Callithrix jacchus: one gene and its partners. The protein of the gene in region 2 interacts with the protein of the main gene of each other region in a pairwise test. Links are inferred from orthologs where the notes say so. Each region holds a gene or a part of one and is shown on either strand. Other genes may lie near its edges. The genes, in order: RTL8C, PEG10 and EXOSC5.

Region 1 (3,378 bases), on a different chromosome or scaffold from region 2:
GATGCCAAATTATAAATTAATGATGTTTCCACTCCTTCTGGGAATACAAATACTATCACACACATAACCAACAATAATATACCTCCACCTACCTCCACATAGAGCCCTATGAACCTCTGCTGATGAGTGGCAAAATTTCACCTATTTAAATGAAGACAGAAAAGCAATAAAGTAAAAACAAACAAACAAAAACCTCTTGTGATTTATTCCTCATTTGTATGTTCTGGAAAAATAACATGTATTGGAAATAAGGCAGAGAGGCTGGGCATGGTGGTTCATGCCTGAAATTCTAGCACTTTGGGAGGCCGAGGTGGGCAGATCATGAGGCCAGGAGATTGAAACCATCCTGGCGAAACTCGGTCTCTACTAAAAATACAAAAATTAACCGAGCGTGGCGACACATGCCTGTAGTCCCAGCTATTCAGGGAGCTGGGGCAGGAGAATCGTTTGAACCTGGGAGGCAGAGGTTGCAGTGAACTGAGATCGTGCCACTGGACTCCAGCCTGGGCAACAGAGCAAGACTCCATCTCAAAAAAAAAAAAAAAAAAAAAAGGCTGAGTGTTGACTGAGTGCTGCCCTACAAGCCCACCCTACAATAATTTGCTTCTATTGGGATGTTGAACTTTTCCCAGAGACAGATGGAGTGGCAGAGACATGTTAGCACAGATTTCAAAGATTAGCATGCAGAGATATGTTGAAGACTAATGTTCTTTCTTTTTCTGCCTATTAATTTCAGGTCATTCATTAAACAAGTTTGTACCTAAATTAACATTACAGTTCTGCATTCCTTTCTCTACTACCTACCCAATTAAAGCAATATAAATGTAAATGCTCTTTCTTAAGAATCTAAGCCATTCTGCTAGTTCCTTGATAATGGGTTAAATAAAACTATGAGAGGTATTCACCAACAATTGTGTGAGGTGTATGGCTTGTAACCACTTGGAGTATATGCTTTCAGTCAGTTTTTTGGAAACAAAGGAAGAAAAAGCACCCTATCTGACTATTCCTTACCTTATTTTGGCCAAATTCAGATTAAGGTTCATTTCCTAAGGGGCACAAAACTGACTTGTTTACAACATTAATCGTCTGGGATTGGTCACCGGTGGGATCTCCATTTGCAGGACACCACAGGACTCTGTGTCAACATCAGCCATAAGCATAGCAGGGAATATAGCTTTTGAACAAGATATGGACCCCATTTACAGAACCAGGGAGGGAAAAGTGCCATATTCATTGAGACCATTTCTTTTCAATAATGTCTGACATTTATTGAAAATAAGGAAAAGACTTTCTCCAGGTAGTGTATTAGAGCAGAGCAGAATGCAGGGGTTACTGTGTTGAACAAAAGGCACACATCAGAGAGACAGCTGCAAACTCAGAAAACTGGGTTATGGTCAAAACTAACTGGTCCACAAGAGAAAATTAGAGACTCGATTTGGCTGCCAGGCACACCTGGGCCTAGGCAGGAACACAAGAGGTCTTTGGGAGTGGGGAGGAAATAGGTCTCGCTGAAGGTGACAGATCCCTTGGGGTGCAGCCAGCGGTCTGGATCACTGTCCAGGGGCTGTGGCCAGCTCAGATACCTCCGAGGTGAGTCCAGATCACTGGGATGCGGTGGATGGCGATGGCAGTGGCAGCGCAGGTCTGTGGGCAGAATGATGTAGTCGTCTGGCAGTCTCGTGGGGTGGAGGAGGGTTGGCAGCGGCGGCTGTGGGTGGTCTAATCCAGTGTGTAACAGGAGCCCAGCTTGCAGCTGGAGAGCAGGACAGCGTCCAAATATGCATGGGTGGGGCTGGCCGGATGGAAGAAGAGGGCGGCGGCAGCTCGCTCCAAAGTGAGGCCCAGGGGCGGCGGCAGGAGCCTGGAGCGCTATTCCTGGAACAAAGGCAAGCACTACGCGGGAGGGGACAGGAGCGCAGGGGACATCGCGGCGGCTCGAGAGGGAGGGAGGCGAGGAGGGAGGGCACCGGTGGCGACCCTGGCGGCGGCCATTGGCACAGCGGACCCTCTCCAGAGCACCCGCCCCCAGGCCCGAGGGTCTCCAGGCCTAGAAGTCCTCGTCCTCCTCCCATCCAAAGACCCGCTTCATCTCGGCCAGGAAGCCCCGGTAATCATTGAGGAGGGGGCTCTCCTTCTTGATGTAGGGGATCACCCACTGCAGAGCGGGCCCCGTGAGGCGGGTGATGAGGAACGTCACCTTCAGGGCATCGCTGGAGAACGTGTTCTCGTCCACGAACATGTAGGAGCCCGTCTGCACGATGAACTCCGGGAGCCGGTCGGTATCGCCGTCAAACGTCTCGGGAAAGGGAATCGGATTCCTCCAGCGACGCGTCGCAGGCCGGATCGGCAAGGCCAGGAGGGCCTTTATCAGCTGCACCCGACCGTCCATCGCTGCTCTTCGCTTCGCTGGACGTCAATGGGCTCCACCCGGCTCTGCAGAGGTCAGTGCCGAGGCGTCGCCGGAAATGCGTGTCCACTAAGGCCGGCCCAAGCTAGAGTGGGCGGGGCCACAAGCGGAGCTCCAGTCCTCTCATGGACTCCGCCCACAAGGCCGAGTGGTCCCTAGTGCGCAGGCGCGTCGTGGGGCAAACACTGGCGAAGAGGGGCCTAAAGCCATCAAGGAAGCGGGGTCGTATCGGACTTGATGGGCGGAGGTTTCCTAAGTTGGCCGGACCGGGAGCAGGGGAAGAACCAGGGAAACTTGGTGGTGTACCGGGCGCGGGGAGCTGGCTCCGAGAAGCTGTTAGGAGCCCCACCTAGTTCTGGTAGTTGAGGAGTCCTGCCGCTGCACTCGTCCCCACCTCTCATCAGCCTTTGGGTATGCTTTCAGGGACCCTTGGCCCTGGACGCCACTAGTATGAGATTCTGTGAGCACATTTTCCTGCTGCTTCTTGCGTCTCTCAACCAGATTATTGGCTCCCTACTTTGCGACATTATTATAATAGAGAAGCCCCACATATTAGCAAATATAATCTAAAGCAGCATATTCAAAGAGGAATGCACCACGCTTGAGGGGATGGATACCCCATTCTCCATTATGTCATTATTAATATCTAGTATTTGATAGCGCAAAAGGATGACTACAGTCAAAATAATTTAGTTTTACATTTTAAAATAACTAAGAGTATAATTGGATTGTTTGTAGAACAAAGGATAAATGCATGAGGGGATAGATGCCCCATTTACCATGATGTGATTATTATGCATTGCGTGCCTGTATTAAAGCATTTCATGTACCCCATAAATACATATACCTATTATGTACCCACAAAAATTATAAATAATTTTCTAAAAAGAATAATAAATCCACAAGCAGTTAATGTAAGGAGGGTTAAATATTAAGAAATACCTTAATTTGTTATAAAATCTGCCCTCTAT
Region 2 (4,500 bases):
AAAAATTTTAAGTATTTAAACATGCAAGAATAAGGGTAGATGATTATGATCATGTTAAAGATGATGCTGATGAAAAGTGAAACTTCACCGTCAGACTCCTCTTCATGTCAGGCAATTTGAGATACACACCATGTTGTTTGCAACTGCTCAAAACTGTGTTTTGGCAATTGAAGCCTGCCTCTTACATATCTGTGTAGCAAAGATGGAGTCTCAGCAACCAGGCAGAAAAATGACACGAATCCTGCAGCAAGGTCAATGGCAGTAGTAAAGAATTAAAAAGAAAAAGAGACGTTAGATAAAACAGTTCAAAGGAGTAGCAAGGAACCAAGCTAAAGTAAGTCAGGCAGTCCTAGGCTAGCACAAAACATCCAGAGGACACCAGAGGTGTCACTGGGCTGAAGAAAACTCTTGTGTTGTCCGTTGCTTTGAGTCTTTGAGTTGCTTTCAGAGGCTTTTCATCCATTGGCAGCTTCACATCAGCTCCATCCTCTAGAGCGACCCTTTTCATTATGTGGATTCTGATCCTTTTGAAGTGGTTACCATCAGGTAATGTGGAGCTCACTAAGGAAGTCCACACTCTCAAGACAGTGTCCAGAGCCCTAATTCCTCTTGTTCAAAGATAGGAGTGTGAATCTGGGTGCTAAATCATTTCCCCTGTCTCCATGCATCCTAACACTACAGTCTAATGAAGGGACTGAAGATGGAATGCCCAGATGCATATGGAGGCAGACACATGGATAGATACTTCCAAAACGTCAGCTGGTGGTTTTCCAGTCAACTAACAACACTCATGAAAATTCTTTCTGAAGTACCAGGACAAGTCTCTTAAAAGGTGGGTAAGGGATTTTGGAGTCCTTTTGATCTGCCACTCTTTAGCCTTCGAAGGTGATTGAGAGGTGGTCACATTTCACAAACCTCTAACACCCCTGGAACCACCAGTAATCTCTGGTTATCAGGTTTAATGCTTTGTGGAAGCCATTATGGCATGATGATGGTAAGGTGTGTGTCAAAGCCAGAGTCCTTGGGTACATGCGATTTGCACCACGATGTGATGGCACACTCTTAACATACAAGAGTCCATCTGAGAGGGCCTGAGGTGTTTCATGTAGCAAGGGTTTTGCCTGCCCCTGGGAGAACCAGTTGAGTTGCTGCTCCTTGAGAATTAACAGAACCATGGAAATGGAGTTTGAAGATGGTGAAGTTTCTAAGGGTGCAGCAGGATGATCACGGAAGCCTTTCCACACTGCACCAATAGTTTTGGCTTCCTTAATAAGGACTCGGTCCTCTAGTGATGTAAAGAGAGTACTGAAACTGCAAGAAAAGTCATGTCCTCCTCCACCTCCTCCTCCTTGTCTCCCCCTCCATGAAGAAATCAGCATTTGTATCAGCTTCTCTGTAAATGTTAAACAAGAAAATTGGCAGCCTATAATTTAGATGATGATAGAGGTTTTAGTAAGTAAAACCCAGACTTCCAGGACTGCCTGGAAAGTAAACTTATTAATTATTTTAGATTGGTAGTCAAGGTGGAAAACTGAGAGATAATTCGTTGGCAAATACTCTGCTGCTCTCAGAAAATGTTGAAAGTCTTTTGGTGCTTTAGGATGTGTGCCAGTCCAGGGTGGCGCTGACCTTCTGTAGCCGTTTCAGAGAGGATGTGCCTCAGGTGGCTTGAAGATACAGTAGCCTAAAATTTAGCACACAGTCACTGATTAAGAAGCTGAAAAGGAATAAATTTTGAGGGCAGAGATCCTGAAGGACATGACAAGTATTTACAGGGTACTGTAAGATGGAGGCGGCGGTGGCGGTGGTGGTGGAGGCGGCGGCTGTGGCGGCGGGTACTGTGGCACCGGAGGCTGGCGGTACCAGTGTGGATTCCAAGTGATCATAACAGGTACATACAGTGATCTTCCTTGTCCGTCTCGTCCCACTGGGTACCAGGCGAATCCTACTGGGTAAGTCGGGTACGCGGCATATGTGGGGTATGTTTGGTATCCAGGTATTTGAGGTACAAATTCAGTGTACGTTGCCAGGTGTGCTTGGTCTTCTAAATTTGGAATAGATAGGCGAGGATACTGATTCTGGATAGTAATATTGTTTGGAGCTCGGCAATCATAAGAAACTTGCAGTTTCCACCCCCTCTTCACCTGGAGAATTTGGGCTCCATTAGGTGCAACTGTTGGAGTAATTAGCCCATCCTTTACATTTCTTGCCACAAAATCTCGAAGAGCTGCCATATCAGATTCAGACAGTGAGTACACATGTCCGCTAGGAATACTGTGTGCTCCAGGTATCATTTCTATGTGAGGGTCAACCAGGCGGTGATCTGGGTAGACGTGCTCATCTACTGGAGTGTACACATTCTGGACATAGTAATACCTCACTGGTTGGTAAACTCTGTATCCATCTACTGGATAATAGAGTGGTGGTTGTGGTGCCGGTGGTGGGAGCGATGGTGGTATTGGAGAATACATCCGGCAGTGGTAGCGGCAGTATTCAGAATCAAAGACGATGGATCGAGTGCTCCAGGTGATGTTGGGATCATGTGTGCTCAGCCAGCGAACCCCCAGGACGACAGGGAAGAATGGAGACTGAGTCACATCAAATGACAGCACCTCACGGTGATCTCCCAGGTCAACTATCAGGTCATGAGTTTCGTGGACAACTGGGCCCGATGCTATGGGGCGCCCATCAATTGCTTCCACAAGTATTGGCCAGTCCTTGATTCTTAGAGGAATTCCATTTTGAGCAACGTATTCATGATCAATGAAGTTGCCAGAAGCACCAGAATCGATCATGGCTCGGACAAACAGGGTGTGTCTGCCCGGAAGATGAATCTGGAGCATCACTTGCAAGTGTGGAGATGAGGCATCATCTTGTGGGGACCTTATTATTTCTGGCCCGGTCGCTGAAGGTCCCTCTACAGCGGGGCCGGGGAGTTTCCCGCCGGTGAAGACTTCGAGGCCTTGGCAGGACAGTTGTCAGCATAGTGACCTCCTGTTCCACAGTAGAGGCAGAGGTTCAGCTTTCTGCGTCTTTCTTTTTCTTCCTGGGTCAGGCGCATGCGGGCACCTCCCACCGGCTCAGTTGGATCTACCTGGTGGTGGCTTGCAATGTGAGGCAACACCAGCGCCCGGGGTGGTGAGCGTGGCTTGCGAGCTGCAGCAGCCCTGGCCAGCCTTCTCTCAATGTGAATGCACTGACCTATCAGAGCAGACAGCGACTTGGCGACCTCGAGGTGGGAGAGCTCCTCCTGAATGTGGTCACTGAGGCCCTCGTGGTACTGGTCAATCAGTGCAGGTTCGTTCCAATCCAGGTCCTGGGCAATCATCTGGAAAGCATTAGAGTAGTCGATGACAGACCCCATACCTTGGCGCAGTCGTCTGATCTTGCGTTTGGCAGCCTCTCGCCTCTGAGGGTCTTCAAAGACATGTTTCATTTCCATCATGAAAGCCGGGTAGTTGTGCATCAAGTAGTGAGAGCGCTCCAGCTTTGCTGAGGCCCAACGTGCAGCACGGCCGGTCATCATGCTTGTCACGAAGCAGACACGGACACGATCAACTGAGAAATCTCTGGTGCTCTTTTCCATGAAGACCTGGCACTGGGACATAAAAGGAGCCAGCATGTCTGGGTTGCCATCAAACTTCTCTGGGAGGTCTTCTGGGCACTCTTCCTCTATTGCAGGGGGTGGGGCAGCAGCTGCTGCAGCACCGCGGAGCTCGATGTCATCATCCTCATCCTCTGGGGTGGGTTCTACCTGCTCTCGAAGGGTAGTGTTCTCCTCTGTGAGCTTCTGCACCTGGTTCTGCAGATTGTTGTTCTCCTCAGACTGCTTGATGACCTTCTCTCTTAAGTTGTTGATCTCTTCAGAGAGCTCATCTCTCCTTCGTTCGGTCATGTTGGGGACACACGCACTCTTATGGCCAGTGTGCTTGGAGTTGTTGTTGTTGTTGTTGTTGGGGGGAGGGGGAGGAGGAGGAGGTGGGCAGTCGGGACCCAGGGTGACGGTTGGGGTGGGAGGAGACCTCCCAGCTGTAACTTCACTTCTGTGGGGATGGAGGCCTGGATCCTGGCCCCCTCTTCCACTCCTTCTTTTTTTTGTTTTCAAAACGCGCTTATTTCTGTAAATAAAGATAAACATATAAATCTAACTTATACCTTCAAAGCAGCAAAATGTAGACACAAAGGATTTGATATTTATATTATCCCTTGTTCTATGTGCTTACTTTAATAATTAGCAAACAAACAAAAACAAACTCTCAAAGGGAAGTTATCAATCAGCACCATACAAAAAGCAAACTACTTTTTGATGTTCAAATGACCTTGTCCTTCTCAAAGACCACCTGTTGATTATGATTCAATAATATATTATCAACAGCATGCTTACCTTTATAAACTATAAGAGAATGTTAAGGCCTCTAAACAAGTAGTTTCCTATTGAAACAGAACTTCAAGGCAAAGAAACTTCAAGGCAAACATGGATACCAAATCAATTATGCAAAT
Region 3 (4,500 bases), on a different chromosome or scaffold from region 2:
AGCGAGGACATCCTGATGGTCCTGGTTTTATTTCATTATTTTTTTGAGATGGAGTTTCACACTTGCCTACGCTGGAGTAAAGTGGCACAATCTCAGCTCATTGCAACCTCTGCCCTCTGGGTTCAAGCAATTCTCCTGCCTCAGCCTCCTGAGTAGCTGGGATTACAGACACATGCCATCACGCCTGGCTAATTTTTATATTTTTAGTAGAGAGAGAGTTTCACCATGTTGGCCAGGCTGACCTCAAGCCTTACTGCCTCAGCCTCCCCACCAGCTGGGACTACAACAGGTGTGCACCATCATGCCTGGCTAATTTTTTTTTTTTTTTTTGAGACGGAGTTTCGCTCGTTACCCAGGCTGGAGTGCAATGGCGAGATCTCGGCTCACCGCAACCTCCGCCCCCTGGGTTCAGGCAATTCTCCTGCCTCAGGCTCCCAGGTAGCTGGGATTACAGGCACGCGCCACCAGGCCCAGCTAATTTTTTGTATTTTTAGTAGAGACGGGGTTTCACCGTGTTGACCAGGATGGTCGTGATCCACCTGCCTCGGCCTCCCAAAGTGCTGGGATTACGGGCGTGAGCCACAGCGCCCGGCCTGCCTGGCTAATTTTTATATTTTTAGTAGAGTCGGGGTTTCACCATGTTGTCCAGGCTGACCTCAAGCAATCTTACTGCCTCAGCCTCCCCACTAGCTGGGACTACAGGCGTACACCATCATGCCTGGCTAATTTTTATATTTTTAGTAGAGTCGGGGTTTCACCATGTTGTCCAGGCTGGTCTTGAACTCCTGGCCTCAGGTGATCTGTACATCTCAGTCTCCCAAAGTGCTGAGATTACAGGTGTGAGCCACTGTTCTTGGCCATACTTTTTTTTTTTTTGAGACCGAGTTTCACTCTTGTCACCCAGGCTGGAGTGCAATGGTGTAATCTCAGCTCACCACAACCTCTGCCTCCCAGGTTCAAGTGATTCTCCTGCCTCAGCCTCCCAAGTAGGTGGGATTATAGGTATGCACCACCACGCCCAGCTAATTTTGTATTTTTAGTAGAGACAGGGTTTCTCCATGTTGGTCAGGCTGGTCTCAAACTCCTGACCTCAGGTGATCCACCTGCCTCGGCCTCCCAAATTGTTGGGATTGGCTGGTCCGAGTGCAGTGGTGTTTACAACTAATTGATTACAACCAGTTACAGATTTCCTTGTTCCTTCTGCATTCCCACTGCTTCGCTTGACTAGCGTTTTAAAAAAAAAAGTGTTGGGATTATAGGCGTGAGCCACCACACCCAGCCATACATTTCCTTTCCAACGAAGGAAGTTTGAGCTGGGTTTCTGTCACTTGCTGCTAAACGAACCACGATGATTGGAGCAGCCCTTGCTAAGTGGGACTGACGTGGCATGAGCCAACTGTCTGCAGAGAAGTGAGGCCTGGAGGGAGGGAGGGGGAGCTGTCTGGCCTCTGCCTTTCAGCCACCCTGGTCATCACTTACCTTTTCTCGCTTGGATGTAGGATCCAGCACGAGGGTCCCATCAGAGTCCAGGGCACAGGTGACCCCACAGAAGAGAGCCCGCATGGGTACACCTGCATCCACCAATGCCATGCAGGCAGCATTCAGACAACAGGCCAGGAGCTGAGCACCATGAGCAATGGTTAAGTTTCTTTTTTGTTGTTGGTTTCTTTTTTTTTTTTTTGAGATAGAATGTCACTCATCGCCCAGGCTGGAGTACAGTGGTGTGATCTTGGCTCACTGCAACCTCTGCCCCCCAGTTTCAAGCGATTCTCCTGTCTTGGCCTCCCGAGTAGCTGGGATTATAGGCATCCACCACCACGCCCGACTAATTTTTTGTATTTTTAGTAGAGACAGGGTTTCACCATGTTGGCCAGGCTGGTTTCAAACTCCTGACCTCAGGTGATCCTCCTGCCTTGGCCTCCCAAAGTCCTGGGATTACAGGCTTGAGCCATAGCACCCAGCCTAAGAAGTTTCTACTGTAGGTCTGGCCAGCAGAGCAGATCCATGCCTCCCTCCACTGGGCCAATGGCTGTGGCAGATATCACTAATCGGTCACAGGACAGTATGGCAGAATAGTTAAAAGTGGTTCTGGGATTGCGTAACCCTGGGTTCCAGACCTGGCTTTACTCTTTCAGCTTGTGACCCTGAGGAAGTGACTTACTCCCAAGCTCCTCATCTGCTAGGTAGGGAATATCATAATATTCAACAGGTATGTACTGAAGTACGTACCACACGTTTTGGCAAAGGGGGTCAGAGAGGGGAAGAAACCTTCCAAAGTCACGTGGGGGAGGCACTGGCAGAGCCAGGCCTGAAATGTGGGTGGCAGCCACTCCCCAGTGACAGAGCTGGCAGGGCAGTGGAGGAAGAACCATTCTCACGGCTGCCTGCAGGGAACCCAGCATGGGAGGAGAGTGCAGGCTGCGAGTCAGCTGACTCTGCTTCAGCTTCCTCCTGTGTTTCTTCTCCAGGCCTAGCAGGCCACACAAAAGCCACAGCTTTAGAGTCAATCAGTTCCAGCTCTGCTGCTGATCCCCCACCACTTCCTCTGGGCTTCACTTTCCCCTTCTGTAAAATGGAGTTACAATACCTTCTCTCTCTGCCCTTCCATAAAACGTCTGTCTAGTTCAGGGCCGTGTACCAGTAAAGCCTTCTACAATGCCTAATTCTGGTCCTCAACCTCAACCTCCCTCACGTCAGACACAGTGATCTTTCAAGGCCAAGCTCCTGACTCAGCTGCTCTCTGCTCAGGGTGCCTCCAGCACTGACAGCCTGAAATCCACTAAGGTGCAGAGTACAAGTGATTGCCGGCCGGGCACAGTAGCTCATGCCTGTAATCCCAGCACCTTGGGAGGCCAACGCGGGCTGATCACTTGAGGTCAGGCGTTTGAGACCAGCCTGGCTAACATGGTGAAACCCCTTCTCTACTAAAAATACAAAAATTAGCCTGGCATTAGGGTGGCACATGTAATTCCTGCTACTCAGGAGGTTAAAGCATGGGAATTGCTTGAGCCCGGGAGGTGGAGGTTGCAGTAAGCTGGGATTGCACCACTGTGCTCCAGTCTGGGCGACAGACTGAAACCCTGGCTCAAAACAAACAAACAAACAAAAAAAAAAAACAAAAGAGGTGATTGGCACAGGCTCTGGAGTCAGACTGGCCTGGGCTTGAGTCCTGCCTGTGCTGCCTTCCAGCTGTGTGTCCTTGGGCAAGCCCCTTCCCCTGTCTGGGCCTCAGTTTTGTCACATGAAACATGCGAAGATAAGAACATTCATCTGGCAGGGTCCTTGGGCTTAGAACTAGGTGATCTGGGTCTAAGTCTTGGCTCTGCCACTTGCACGGGGATCAGAAGGACATGTGTTTCACATGCTGTATTAAATGAGATATGTGTGTAAGGCACAGCAAACAGGGTCTGGCACATGAGCACTCAGGCTATGCTTATTCTCCTTCAGTGAGCTGGTGCCTGTCAAGTGTTTGAAGGCTTTCTGGCTAGCAGAGAGGGCATATGTGGCCACCAGAAAAGAAGCAATCAGGAGACTTCCTGGAGGCAGCAGCCTGTGGGAAAGGATACAGAGCCAGCATCGCTGACAACCTGCAGCACCACGGTGATGGAGGTGCGGGGGTGCAATGTGCCCAGCACCACCGCCTCGCACGTGTTCCTGATCAGCCGCTCCCGGCTCTTCTCTGCAACGCCTGAGGAAATTGAAGAGAGGTTGTCACAGTCTTCCCCTCCATGTGGCTCACCTTACTCCGTATGCTCCACCCAAACCCCCTGGAAAGGGCCCATAGTCTCAGGCTAGGATGGTGCAGGTACCTGCAGGGATGATGGAGGATTCCAGTGGGAAGGAGGCAGGGCCTGCCTGCCATCCACCGACCCCTGCTACCTCCGGCATCCACCAAGGGAACCATCCAGGGGAGGAAGACCTGAGAGTACCATGTCTGTGATGCTACCCACGCCCACTCCCACCCCAGCAGGCCCAGCCAGTGGGGACTGAGGGATATGAGGGTAAAAGGGTGAAAAATAAGTTAATGAGCCAGGCACAGTGGTTCACACCTATAATCCCAACACTATGGGAGGCTGAGACAGGCAGATCACTTGAGGTCAGGAGTTTGAGACCAGCCTGGCCAACATGGCAAAATCCCGTCTCTACTAAAATTACAAAAATTAGCTGGGCATGGTGGTGTGTGCCTGTAATCCCAGCTACTCGAGAGGCTAAGATAGGAGAATGGCTTGAACCTGGGAGGTGGAGGTTGCAGTGGGTTGAGATCACACTATTACACTCCAGCCTGGGTGACAAGAGTGACTCCATCTCAAAAAAAAAAAAAAAAAAGGTGGGCTCTGTGGCTCATGCCTGTAATCCCAGCACTTTGGTAGGCTGAGGCGGGTGGATCACCTGATCAGGAGTTCAAGACTAGCCTGGCCAACATGGTGAAACGCTGTCTCTACTAAAAATAGAAAAATTAGCTGGGTGTGGTGGCTTATGCCTGTAATCCCAGCTACTTGG

Evidence for each region.
Region 1: the proteins of PEG10 (region 2) and RTL8C interact in binary tests that used the Homo sapiens proteins (3 or more experiments, as listed by UniProt). The two-hybrid records come from large-scale screens. The link is inferred for Callithrix jacchus from reciprocal best matches to the Homo sapiens genes PEG10 and RTL8C.
Region 3: the proteins of PEG10 (region 2) and EXOSC5 interact in binary tests that used the Homo sapiens proteins (3 or more experiments, as listed by UniProt). The link is inferred for Callithrix jacchus from reciprocal best matches to the Homo sapiens genes PEG10 and EXOSC5.

What each region holds. Positions count from the first base shown.
Region 1 is NC_133524.1:130,606,951-130,610,328, reverse strand, and holds RTL8C (retrotransposon Gag-like protein 8C), read right to left. Parts: upstream 2,419-3,378; 5' UTR 2,390-2,418; coding exon 2,048-2,389; 3' UTR 1,243-2,047; downstream 1-1,242.
Region 2 is NC_133512.1:54,928,314-54,932,813, forward strand, and holds part of PEG10 (retrotransposon-derived protein PEG10), read right to left. Parts: intron 4,119-4,500; coding exon 2,918-4,118; coding exon of another isoform or gene 1,770-2,917; 3' UTR 1-1,769.
Region 3 is NC_133523.1:36,663,667-36,668,166, forward strand, and holds part of EXOSC5 (exosome complex component RRP46), read right to left. Parts: exon of another isoform or gene 3,889-4,500; coding exon of another isoform or gene 3,810-3,888; intron 3,689-3,809; coding exon 3,567-3,688; intron 1,621-3,566; coding exon 1,480-1,620; intron 1-1,479. UniProt on the Homo sapiens protein: Non-catalytic component of the RNA exosome complex which has 3'->5' exoribonuclease activity and participates in a multitude of cellular RNA processing and degradation events.